2 linked regions of the Caenorhabditis elegans genome follow. Each later gene encodes a partner of the first gene's protein in a complex. Each region holds a gene or a part of one and is shown in the gene's direction. Other genes may lie near its edges. The genes, in order: sdc-2 and sdc-1.

What was found.
Region 2: sdc-2 (region 1) and sdc-1 share a complex: the UniProt entries of both Caenorhabditis elegans proteins name them as parts of the SDC complex.

Annotation. Positions count from the first base shown.
Region 1 is NC_003284.9:11,520,698-11,525,880, forward strand, and holds the start of sdc-2 (Sex determination and dosage compensation protein sdc-2), read left to right. Parts: upstream 1-2,009; 5' UTR 2,010-2,041; coding exon 2,042-3,160; intron 3,161-3,205; coding exon 3,206-3,441; intron 3,442-3,886; coding exon 3,887-4,105; intron 4,106-4,155; coding exon 4,156-4,309; exon of another isoform or gene 4,310-4,367; coding exon 4,368-4,433; exon of another isoform or gene 4,434-4,476; coding exon 4,477-5,027; exon of another isoform or gene 5,028-5,073; coding exon 5,074-5,183. UniProt on the Caenorhabditis elegans protein: Component of the SDC complex that functions in sex determination and in X chromosome dosage compensation specifically in hermaphrodite (XX) animals.
Region 2 is NC_003284.9:16,274,042-16,281,812, forward strand, and holds the start of sdc-1 (C2H2-type domain-containing protein), read left to right. Parts: upstream 1-1,721; 5' UTR 1,722-1,731; coding exon 1,732-1,805; intron 1,806-1,966; coding exon 1,967-2,199; intron 2,200-2,642; coding exon 2,643-2,878; intron 2,879-2,919; coding exon 2,920-3,215; intron 3,216-3,268; coding exon 3,269-3,599; intron 3,600-3,825; coding exon 3,826-4,008; intron 4,009-4,196; coding exon 4,197-4,435; intron 4,436-4,592; coding exon 4,593-4,978; intron 4,979-5,110; coding exon 5,111-5,244; intron 5,245-5,986; coding exon 5,987-6,049; intron 6,050-6,147; coding exon 6,148-6,387; intron 6,388-6,615; coding exon 6,616-7,491; intron 7,492-7,771. UniProt on the Caenorhabditis elegans protein: Embryonic transcription factor regulating downstream genes involved specifically in the sex determination and dosage compensation pathways, or regulating other genes involved in the coordinate control of both processes.

The DNA of each region.
Region 1 (5,183 bases):
TCTCTCTTGAAAAAATAATGTTTTAAGCCAAAAGTGTTTTTAAATAATTAATTAAAATCATCTATGAAACCAAAAACAGGTCTTTCAACTCTTAAGATGGTCGTCTTTATCAAAAAAGTGTCTGGAAATGGCAATGTGTATTTGGTATTTGTAAGTAAAACGCCAACCGTAGGAAAAGGGTTTAAATCATTTCCTGATAGTTCTGAAATATTTGAATATCACAAAAAAAGTAGAACAAGCTGAAATTGTTACTAATTTGGATATTGGAAAAAAGTTTTCACGATTTTGTAATTTTTTTTAGCATGGCACAAAAATTTTATAACTTTCGAAAAAATGGAGCTCCTAGTGCTCCTAGTGTAGCATTTACACATTATTGGCAATTTTTAACGGAAACCTCGAAAGGCAAAAAAAACTATTACAAATTGAAGCATTTTCAATATGGATGTTTTTCTTTTGAAATGGTTTAGAAGGCAGCTTTCACAATTTTCAAAAATTTAAGGCATTTCGGTTATAATAATGTGTTGTTCACATAATGTCTCTGGCGCATCTCTACTTGTAAGATCTATTAGTTTTGTATCACTGATAGCCCTGCACTCAAAACGACCCATAAAAATAGTATTGCATGAAAGTTATATTATTATTAAAATGCACTACTTAAACTGTTTTACTTATAGTTTGATTTTAAAAAATTCCTGCTGTTGGAACATGGTCTTTGAACAACCTATTATTAAAAAATATAACATATATTCGATGGATCAGTTAAAATTGTTCAAAATTATTTGTTACACATACCCATTATGTATTCCCATTGATAGTATGCATCTTCCATTTCTCCCGTCAACATAATTGTTCATAAATTTTTCTAAATATCGACTCATGCACAGTTTCTACGCGACTCAACCCCGTTTTGTATGACGTAAAAATCATCGATTGTCCAGCCGGCTGTTTAGATGACCGTTGGTCATCACTGCATAGCGCAACGCAAAACGGCAGAGGTCAGAGCTGCGGTAACGACGCGCTGTTCACGGCATTATAGAATTTGGCACATTCGAAGATGAAGACAATCTGCAGTTATTGTACATATACTTATTAATTTGACTTTTCCTCTTATCGGATTAGATGCCTGAGCCCTTTCGATAATTATACCTAAATCACTTGTTTATTCTGTACCTTACTTTAGTTTCATTTTTATTAATATTGATGTTATTTTGCGTAGGAGTTTTTGCTGAATGTTTGTATGAAACTTCTTTCAACATATGTGTGATATTTTCCTTTTTTCCTCTAGCTTCACACTTTTACTTTCGAATCGAAAGTATACGACATTTGTACAAGGTTAAACTTTACGCAGAGTTTCTTATCAGAATTGCGCGTGACATTGACGTTTATACAAAGCTAGAAAAACTTTAGTTAAATTATTTATCCTAAACATATTTTAAATTTATTTTATCCATATAACTTTAAACGCAGCCTCCGCTTTCTTATTGAGTCTCCATGCCCCTGTCACAGTTGTGTATCCTTGTTCTCTCTACTCTCTCGTTTTCCACACAGGTTCAGTCGATGTCTCTTGGGTCTTCTCCTTTTTTCCCACTCATTCCTATCTATCGTTTCTTTGCGCTCTCCACCATGGCTCTCTCCATCCAGTTCGCAACATATTAAACAGAAAATGGAGACTTAGAGAAAACAGGACTGGTGAAACCAAGACAAAGTAGGGAATAGTTCACAAAGGTTAAGGCATTTGAATTCTAAATTACCAATAAGTATCAATTTTTGTTTTTGACTACTTTTCTAGATTCTGTTATTTTAGGCTTCAATCTCTTCATTATTTTCAAAAAAATTTTTTTTCAATCTCTTCACTATTTTCAAAATTAATTCTTTCAAAACTTTTTTTTTGTTGAAAAAATTCAAAAAGCTTACCATAACACATTTAATTTTAATTTTATTTTTCTGCGACAGCCCGTTGTCTAAAAATTTTTTCAAGAACCTTTCGTTATTTTCACTAATATATTATTTTTCAGAATCGTGATTTTCTCTTCCGGTACTTATGAGTGATGAATCAGAACTAGGAAATCAAAGTGAAATGGAGTCATTCAACGAGTCCGATTCTCCAGATGAAGCTGATCCAGACGTTGTTATCATCCATGACATAGTTCATCTACGTGCAAGTACTACAGGCGACTATAGTCAATCAGAAATTGGGAAACTTCCCGAGCAAAACACGTTTTTCTTACCTGGAAGAGTTAAACGCAACATTTCATCAAACGACTCTGATGTCATTATTGACGAGGATGAGATACCAGACGGAGCAATCAGAATTACTTCAGATACTCATTTCATTGGATCAAGTAGAGGTACTAGTGAACTCGGAGATTTCGAGATGGATGAACAGGAATTTTTGAATATAACAATAGAAGAAAATGGAAACGAACAGGAATTAGAAGAACACTTGCGCAACGCATACCGTCATGAAGAAGAAGAGTGTTTTGAAGAAGAAGACGATATAATTGAACTTCCTCCTCTACCTGTAAAGCCAGCTGTAAAGAAACCTCGAAGAAAACTGCCAAAACATCTGAGTATAGAGAGTGGATCCACCGCAAAAACATCAAAACTGGTAGCAGAAGTTGTTCACGATCACCCAAGACCTGTCAATTATCGCATGAAGCCAGCTGTAACTGATGATGGTAAAGTAGTTGAACAGAAACGGACTCGAGTGACACGTAACATTATGTCACACACAATTCCGCAGTATCATTTGGAAGGTGAAGAAACTGAGTTTGGAAGAGTGAAAGAATCTACTTTATCAAAAACGATCGAACAGTATCTCCAAGCTGGCAAACTTGTTTCCCCAAAGTGCGACCAGTTTCGTGAACAAATTGTAGCAACTGCGGTTGAATACGATGGATCTGTGAAAATGTTGCAGTTTGAAAATGCATTGAAGAAACATTCCGGCAAGCAAAAACGCCTAAAATATCAAACCGGGTGGTGGAAAGCTTCTAAGAGTCATTACGAGAGAGCAGTGAACGGTTATGTTGCAATGCCAAAAACCCCAGTATTATCAATTTCTGATGATCCAGTTCTCTACAAACACCATTCACTATTTCCCAAGAACCAATCTTCAGAACTTGAAAAAATTAATGTTCAACTGCGTATTCGTTTAAACTCGGTAAGTAGTCAATTATTTATCTGAACATCTCAATTCTTATTACAGAAACGGCAAAACAATGATGTTATCCCCGACTCATCTTATTTTGTCAGAGAGTTCCTCATGCAGAAGCATTCAATTTCGCTTCGTATGAACCGTTCATCGGATCTTCCTGAACTCTTCGTCCCTCCAACTTTGGAATGTGGATATTTTCCACAAGATGCCGTTACAGTTCAACAGCAAGAGCACTACTTGATGATGCGTTTTGAAGAAGCTCAAGACGAATATCATAATATAACCTAGTAAGTTGAGCTTCTAAAAATATAGTTTTTATTTGAACAAGACGAGAACAAAATTATTCGAACATTTGAATTGAGACTGATAAATAACTGAAACACACACAAATGTAGCTTTAAGCTGCAATTTTTTTTACATTTTCTATGGCAACGCGTGGCTTCTTTCTCTTTAATTTTGTTTCTATTCTGAAACCGTTTAAAGATGAAGTACGCTCAGTTGAGAAATTATGAACACCTTTTCTATGGTAGTTAAAAATCCAAATATCATAAAACCTTCTAAAAAATTTTGGAAATTTATTTATTTCGAGTCGGAAAGTGATGAAAACTGAGTTTGCGACAAGTTTTAAAAACTCTAAAGCGCTATCGCTTGCTCAAAGTTTTATAAATATTGTTTTCATCTAAAAACAATCAGAAATATCATCAGAAATATATTTATAAAATTTATTTTCAGCCGCAGCATCGCCCCTCCCGTTGAATTTCAAGTTGGAACAATATCGGCTAAAGAGCTTCACAAATTTCATCGTATTGGCCGTCATATTCATGGATTCTTTGTAGTCTGGGAGAATAAGTTTCCTGAATATGATGAAAGTGGAATATGCTGTCCGAGAAAACGTTATTTGGTCGATATGTTTAATTTAATATGTTTCCCACTTTACACGGAATACGAACAGTAAGTTTTTTGAATCAAAGTTTTGTACGTTTAAATTTGAAATTTTGCAGGTGGGAAAGTAGACTAAGAGTCGCATTTGACAAGACCATTGTTTATAATCTACATCTTTCTGAGATACTTCGATGCAATCGCCCGGTTTTCGATTTTCTTTCAAAGAACAAATCAATGCTCCAACCAATCACTCTAAAAGAAATTGTTTATCTTGTAAGTTTTAAAAGTTACAAATTGCAATTTTTATTATAAAAAGTGTGTTCCATTTCAGATCGAGCAGTCAAACATGGATGCAAAATCTTTTGCTGTAAAGTTTGGATTACGGACCTTTTACGATGTAAGCCACAAACGTCAAACTGTACCTTATTATTTTCTTTCAGCACGGTCGAGCAACCAGTAATAAAGACTATCTATCAGCTTTTCTAATTATTACCGGTGGAGCAAAAGTCGTCACAGAAGAAATCGATTCTGAGCGTCTAAGAGTTTTCAATTCGGATTACATGGAATCGGGAGTTCTGACGTCATCGGGAGATGTGTACACATTTGAATTTGACAAAATACCAAACAACTATCAAATTTCCATTGGTTGCAATGCTGATGGAGTGGCTGAAATGGAACAAGAAGATGTCAGGCATGAGCTATCAGAATGTTCTTCTAGAATAACCAGAATAATTGGTGATTCAAAAAAACCAGAAAAAATTATTGCAAGGCCCCTGGTAAAAACAAACCAAAATGACGGAATGAAGTTCTTTACACGGAAAGATTTACTTAATTACCGCATTAAACTGTACGATCCAAGTTACGTTGTTCCACGTGCGAAAAAACAAATTGTCAACGAGCCTGCAAAGAAAAAGCCTGGAAGAAAATCGAAGACAAGATATGATGCAGCAATGCAACAAAACAATTTCGAAATTGAGGGTGTACCTTCCGAGTATGTTTATCCATTGCTCAAAAATTGCCTTATGAAATTTTTTCAGCGTCGACTCCGAATTTGAAGGATATTTAAGTGACAGTGAAAACGTATTCCAGAAGCCGTCAAAGTTAATGCGATCAACGTCATCTGATTCAGTTTTCATTGACTACCAGT
Region 2 (7,771 bases), 4.8 Mb from region 1:
TTAAGGTTTAACCGAAAAAATTGAGTTACTGGCAGCCAATTGCAAAATTTACCTCAAACCGAGGTAATTAAACCGACTCGAGTGGTGCGCTGACTGCTTTTGCGTGCAAAGCATACTGGCCCACGCTAGCCCAAATTTTGTCGGCAGCACATTTCGCATATATCCGCACTCTCACATCTTATTTTTTAAGTAATAAGGGTACTAATATGCTCTTACGTAGTGAATGGAGATTTCCTTTTGTACATAATTATGCACTGCTCCCCACTACTAAATTTTGGATGGCTCATCAAGAGATGGGCCAAAAATAATTTCAAACTCACTGAAAGTGTCTTTTCTCTATTGAGGAACACAGTATGTTGTTATTAATAAATTTGCTCACATTCTCCGAAATAAATGTGAATTTGTTTGCTTCTGTTCTTCGAAATAAAGATCAATATATAATGAGTGCTTATCACCTCCGTTGTTGTCTAGTGGTTAGGATTTATGGCTCTCACCCATAAGGCCGGGGTTCGATTCCCCGCAACAAATTTTGTATGGCTAATCGAGGGCCAAAAATAACTTCCGATTAACTGAAAGTGTCTCTTTAGGATTTGTAAAATTTTAATGTGAGTTTTTCGAAATTCAAAAGAGAACAATTTTCTAAATCAGTTGAAGGAGGACTAACGGTTCGGACAATTTTGAACGTATAGACTCAAAATGAGCTCAAATAAACGAATTTCGTAATGAAGCTTCTCAAAAAAAATTCCAAAATTTTGAACCGCCATAAAAAAGTTTTGAAAATTTTTTGAGCAGTTTCATTACAAAACTCGTTCATTTGAGCTTATTTTGGGTCCATACGTTCAAAATCATCCGAACCGTTAGTCCTCCTTTAAGGACATATCTCTATTTTAAAATTATTTATCATGTTTCTCATTAAAATCAATATGTTTTTGGGAAAAGTTCAATTTTTAAAGTCACCGAAAAATGAAAACGAACATAATTTTGGAGCCACATATGATATATGGGTCTTCGAAAAACTTTCTGTTTTAGAGTTCCTATTTTTGAACAAGAACCCATTTTGAGGTACACAGTATGCTGTAAATGTTAATTTTGCTTACATTCTCCGAAATAGATGTGAATTTGTTTTCTTCTGTTTTTTGAAATAAAAATCAATATATAATTACCGCTATATGACCGCCATAAATAGTTTTGTAAAATCATTAATAAAAATTTCATTACCAAATTTGTTCCTTTCAACAAGTATTGATTTTATACGTTCAGAATACCCCGAGATTTCCCGTTAGTCATTGTTTCATTTATTCCAGAGTTGACCTGATTGAACGCACGCAACGCACTTTTTCTCTCTCGCCACACTTTGGAAGTGAGAGACGCAGCAAGAGATGTCTTCTCTGCCGTGCAGTGTTGTCGTGAAAAGGACGACAGAAAAAAGAGTGTGTGGAGGTGAGAGGGTGGGAGGGGTGTGAGACGGTTGTCCGTAAACACTCGCGCAAAAACGCGGGAAAATTTTTCTGGAGGAGGCCGTGCTGCACAGGTAAAAACCTTTTTAATTCGATCAAAACAATTTTATAAATTTGTTCGATTGGATTTTTCACGGAGATTTTTCCGCGGTGCTTTTATTTTTTTTTTGATTTGCTGTTATTGTTTGAACTGACTTCTAAATTTTGATCTCTTTTACTTTTCGATTCTATTTCCCTTAAATGACAATTATAACTTTGGAACATTTTCAGCAGTATGTCGGATGAAGAAGATATAGATGAAAGCTTTGAAATCGAAGAGGACGGAATTTCAATCACAGATGCCAGAGGGTAAGTTGTTGTTGTTTTTTTTTTTTTTTTTTTTATTTCCTTGGTGGCTTGTCCCAATGTCCAGTAGGAAAAAAGGACATGTATCATTATAAAACTGTTTAAAAATTTTCACATTTCCAAAGCTTTCCAAGCCCTAATTAATCCAACAAATTCTTGTTTAGAAACAGTCTGAAAGCGCAACAAATTGCTGGTAAAGAACGAAATTTGGATCCAGAAGCCGATGATTTGGAGGTAGTCGTCAATTTCTACGAAGCAGGCGACGGAACATTCCAACTACAACTGCCCAAACTAACAGCTGTGAAACCAGTGGATAAAGTCAATGATGTACTGGACTTTATCAATTTTGACAAGAAAGTATGCGATGGAATCCATTCATCAATCAAATTAGTTTCACGTAAGTTTAACTGCATGGTAACTAGAATTAATTCGTATTGTTGGTTGCGGGACAGTAGTAGATTTTTGCCAAAACCAAAAATTAATTTAACCGGGTTGAAACATTTTTGAAAAATATTTTTACAAAGTTTCCAGATGTTGAGAATTGAAAAATTTACCTACGATTTTTTTTTCACAAAACCTACGATTTAAAATAATTTTTTTTAAAGCTATTTGGAGTTAGGGTGTCTCATTTCAGTGTGATCTACTTAAATCTACACACAATGCGGGAGTTGAAACGCAGAGTTCTCAACCAATTTTGCATAGTTAAGAACGTGTTGACGTCACACTTTTTGGACAAAAAATTCCCGTATTTTTTTTAGATCAAACCGTGATGGGGCAGCTTGACACTACGTGTATACATAAAATCCATTATTGGGCCTTACTTTACTATATAATTTTCAGAACGAGATCAGACGGGACCAGCACCGTTTCCGAAGCATAAGCTGACGTGCGCCCATTGCGACTGGTCGTTCGACAATGTGATGAAGCTTGTCCGTCACCGAGGTGTTCACAAGAATGTGGGAGTCTACATGTGTCAAGTGTGCCTCACACTGTTTGGACACACCTATAATCTGTTTATGCATTGGCGGACATCGTGTAGCCAGACATCGACAACTGCCACGGATATCGAGATACAAGTAAGCACAAGTTGGTATTTTGAAACTAATGAATCCCCAAGCTCCAGAAAGCAGAAACGCCGTACCTTCATCGCAATGTGCTCAATGTTTTGGGCTCACTGAACCGAGCGTCGCAATACTACTGCACTGGTGGTTATGTATTTCTGCCGTCGGATTGGTGCATCACAAATAAGGAAATTGTTATGGAAAAGGATCATATGTCGTCGTGTCATTTATGTCACCTGCCTGTACCAAATAAATTTCTCGAAGCTCACGGAAATGTGCATCGGGGGCGATTTCGAATCGATGGACGTATCTACGGCGACTACTTTTGTCATATTTGTGGAACAGTTTTCATGTAGGTTTTTCGACATTTTTTTTCAAAAAATTGAAAGAACACTGAAATTTCAGAGAACAAGATAATCTATTCAAGCATTGGCGTTTGCATTGTGAAGAGGTTATTGCCTACACACCAGTCGACCAATATCTATCAAATACGGAGCTCGCCACACTCGCTTGGCTCGTCCTTCAAACGACAATCTCACAAGCCGATATTGAATGCTTGAGGGTCAGCTCGTCGCTGATCACTGAAAAATTGGCAAAAGAGCACGCGGAGAGACACGGAATCGCCAATAGTATGCACAAGTATTATCACTTTCCACAGGAGATTTGGCCCCTCAAAACGTTTGTCAATTTGGATTTGGTTAATGATGCGATTCCGATTTCAGGAGAAAATTCATTTGTGAGCACTTTTTTTCCATTTTACTTTGAGATTTGTATTATTTTCTAGCAAAACATTATTGGCGGGTCGTTTTAGAACCTATTTTGGAGGCAGGTAGGCACGTTTTCAGGGCCTACCGAAAATAGCAGATTCTGAGCTACGTTGTACATACCTACTTGCCTACTTTCCTTTCTGCCTACCAAAATTTTTATATTTTTTTTCACTGAAATTCAATCTTTTTTTTCAGAAGATAAAAGATCCCAAACGCCCAGTGCACATAATGAACTTGCTCGCTACGGCGTGTCCGGGCTTTTACGCAACAGGAAAGACGTTCAACATGATTTGCAGTACGAAAAAATCGGAATCAGACACGAAAAAGGTGTATCGCGTCATATTGAGATATACGACAGAGGGATCCGTTATTCAATCGGTAATTTGATTTGTGCTTTTTTTCGAAAAATTTTTTTCAGATTTTTCAGCACTTTTAGCTAGACGTTTGGGTATTAGCCAGTTTTAAGAAACTTAGCAATGATCAAACTTTTAATTCAAAATTTTGAATAATGAGAAATTTATTGGAAAGCTTTATGATAATCCAAATTCACTTTTTTTTTCTTCCAGTACGATTTCACGGCTCGCTCATTCCCCAAACTCCGCGTGGACTCGGAAACGCCAGAAGGTGTTTTTAGCCATCCGCTGGCCGATTTCAATGTGGAATCGAACGAGGCGATCGTGTGTCACAAGTGTGATAGTAAAAAGTTGACAATCACGTTCTCGACGGAAGTACGGTTGAAGTATCATCTGCTTCGACATTCGGAGTCACGAAAAGACGGTTATCATTGTGCGATTTGCAAGATTATGTGAGTTTGTATTGAATAAAACAATGTTGATTAGTTTGAGAGTGAGAATTGGATTTTAAAAATCTTCACAATTTTTCTTTATTTTTTGACCACTTCCGAATTGGCTAAGTAATTCCAACAGACGGTAAACGTTTGCATAAATGAAAGTTAATTTCAGAGTATACAATCGTAGTCATGAGGAGCACTGGATCAATGATTGTATTCCGCTCCAGAAATTGTATAGAGATCAAAAGGACCGAGAGTGCTTCGACGCAGAATTTGCTGCAAAATGTGCGAGCATCATAAAAAAGCTCAGAATACGAACATTGATTCGATGGAAGGAACGAGCGAACGAGGACTGGGTGGAGACGAAGCAGACGCCTGATCGTATCGGAGAAGATTTTGCTATAAAATTCCAAGTTGGTACCACTGCTCTGAAGACGCTGATGGCCGGGCTCGAGGAGCATTATAAAAATGCTCAGGCTAGACATGAGGCGTATAAGTACAGCGAGGAAAACTTTTTGCCGCCACTTTCGACGCCGGTCGTTGTATGCTTTCATTGTGGTAAGTGGCTCACCGTAATAGGAATGAAGAAAAATACAAAAAAAAGTTATTCGATCTTTTTTGTGAAAATCTGAAAGTTTAATTCTCTTCCTCTCTCTCTTTTTTAGTTTCTCCTCAAAACACCTTTTTCAGGCACCCGCTGTCATTATACGCTACTTCACGACCACCTTGATTATTGCCACTATTGGCCGCGTAACAAACGATTAGTCAATGAAGAATTTCATAAATGGAAGAAGAACGGCTGTCGAAATACGTGGCGAGTTATGGTAAGGGAGATTATTTGTGTTCTAGATATTATTAATTTTAATGAATTTAATGAAAATGATTGAAAACAATTTTTTAAAGTGGTGGGAGAAAGGTGTATGCATTTTTTTGGTTTTGCCACAGCTTTTAATTTTTCAATTATGTGCATATGTTTGAAGGCGGTTAATATTCAAAACAGGGGTGGGCGGCAATTGCCGTTCTGCAAATTGATTTGCCGACAAATTCTGCAAATCGGCAAATTACCGGTTTTCCGATTTGCCGGAAATTTTTAATTCCGGCGATTTTCCAGTTTGCCGATTTGCAGGAAATTCTTATTTTTGCCAAATTGCCGGTTTGCCGTTTGCCGGATATCAGATTTGCCGGAAATGTTTAGAGGGATTTTTCATAAGACGGAAACACTTAAAACTGTCTTTTCGAAAATTTTTCCGTTTTTTCTATACATTTTCATAGAATTTGCTTACTTTTCAAAATAAATGTAAGAAGATCATAGGATGCGTTTAATTTTGCCATTTGAAATTGAAATTCTGAAATTTCCGAAAGAATAAGTGCGAAACCACAGTTTGCCAAAATTTTTTCGCAAATTCGACAAATCGGCAATTTGCCGATTTGCCGACGTGCCGGAAGTTTCAATTCCGGCAATTTTCCGGCGTGCCGATTTGCCGGAAAAAATTGTTTGCCGCACACCCCTGATTCAAAAGCTTAGCTCTTTTTTTGGTTAACAAACTTAAATATATATTTTTTCAGAAAAGTGTAGCTGAAGCAATGCAAATTGAAGTGCCGTTCATATCTGAGGAGCAATACTCAAAGGTACAGTTTTTGGGGAATAATTTATCAGTATAATGAACAGAAAATAAAAAAAATAGCAAAAAATTCTGAGGTTCATATTTTTCAATGATCATTTCCAGATACTCGACTACCACACCTACTTTTGCAACGACACACGCTACAAGGTTCAGGACTCAATCAACAATTGGAACGATTGCTCAACAATTCGAGACGTTGATTTGTCCGAAAAACTTTCAGTTGCTGAAATTGTGCAAAAGGGCGAGGACTCAGTGATGGCTCCAGAACCTGATATAATCAAAAATGTTTACTTTCCGTCTGCTCGTATTATTACAGATAATATGCTGTTGCGAATGACAGAGGTATAGAATTTTTTGATCATTTTTTAAAATAGTTTTTTTTAGATAGACGATACGATTTTAAATATTTTTCTAGTAACAATTGGTAAATTCTGAGATTATAGCGGAATTAAACCTTTTTTTTTAAATTTCCTAAGAAACTTTTTAAGAAGGCACACTATGAAATTTACCTATTTGGTGCCTATCTGAGTAAAATGAAACCAAAAAAATATATACATATACACATTTCAGATAAACTTGAATGATGTCGTGCAGCGAGACCCAATCACCAAAGAGGAACTAACGGGAAAATTCAAGGAAGTTCAAGACGAGCAAGACGCGATTCTGTTTGGTGACTACCGTGCTGTTTTGCGATCGAAGGGTATTATGGTCAATTCGATTTCGGATTTTGTTGCTCCTCCAGATGAGCTTGCGAAAGCAAAAGCATCCCAGGAGTCTGCTGGTCAAGAAAGTGTGGATCATAGGAATCGAAGGGAACGAGAATTTATTCAACAGTATATGGGTAAAGATCTGGCACTCGAGGCGGCCGCCCGCGAAAATGGGAGACTCGTCGAGGTTGACGAAGAGGCGGAAGATTATGAACTGACTCCGAAGGAGCTCAACGCTCGAAGACTCGTCGAACGGAATCGTCACCGAGAGATGTGCAAAACGAGGTGTGAGCATGGCGAGTATGACTATGAAAAGTTCAAGGCGAGGCAAGTGCCCATTAATCCGGCAAAAATGAAGGAGCGGAAATATCTGACTCGTGTGGTACACGAGAGCGGCCCGGATGATGATGTGTGCCCAGATGAGCCGGAGAATAACATCATCGCGTTCTCACCAAAATATGAAAATTCGCTCAGCGACTTTCGCATAAGTGCAATTGGTTTCCGCGAAAAGTATTTGGCGGACGATAAAAAGAAGAGAAATGGAATTCCGATTCGAAAAATGACTGAGGCTCAGAAAGGTGTTGCGCTAGACTACGATACGTTGATGGCGCGACACGGAGGTCGTCCCGACGTGATAATGAACCCGGCCGGAACTGTTTTTGTGGGAGGATTTGTGTTCGATCGGAAACCGACGTGCCAGGATAACATGCAGACTGTTTATGTTCTTCGTAATGGCTATGTGAGTTTGAAAAGTTTAAGTAATGTTGATTTTGTTCCCCGGTTTTTTGAGACAAAATTTGACTGTCACGAGGGACAGGCAGAGAAGTATAATAGAGAAGTGAAGAAAAGCGGAATATTGAGCCTCGATATAAGACAGTCCCTCCTAACCACGTGGTGTCAGACTGCTCCGTTGCGGTTTGACCTACAAAAAATGCGGGAACGTTTTGCCCAAAAAATGTGACGTCAGCACGTTCTGAACCATGCGAGATCAGTTGAGCCCAACTGTGCTTCTCTACTCC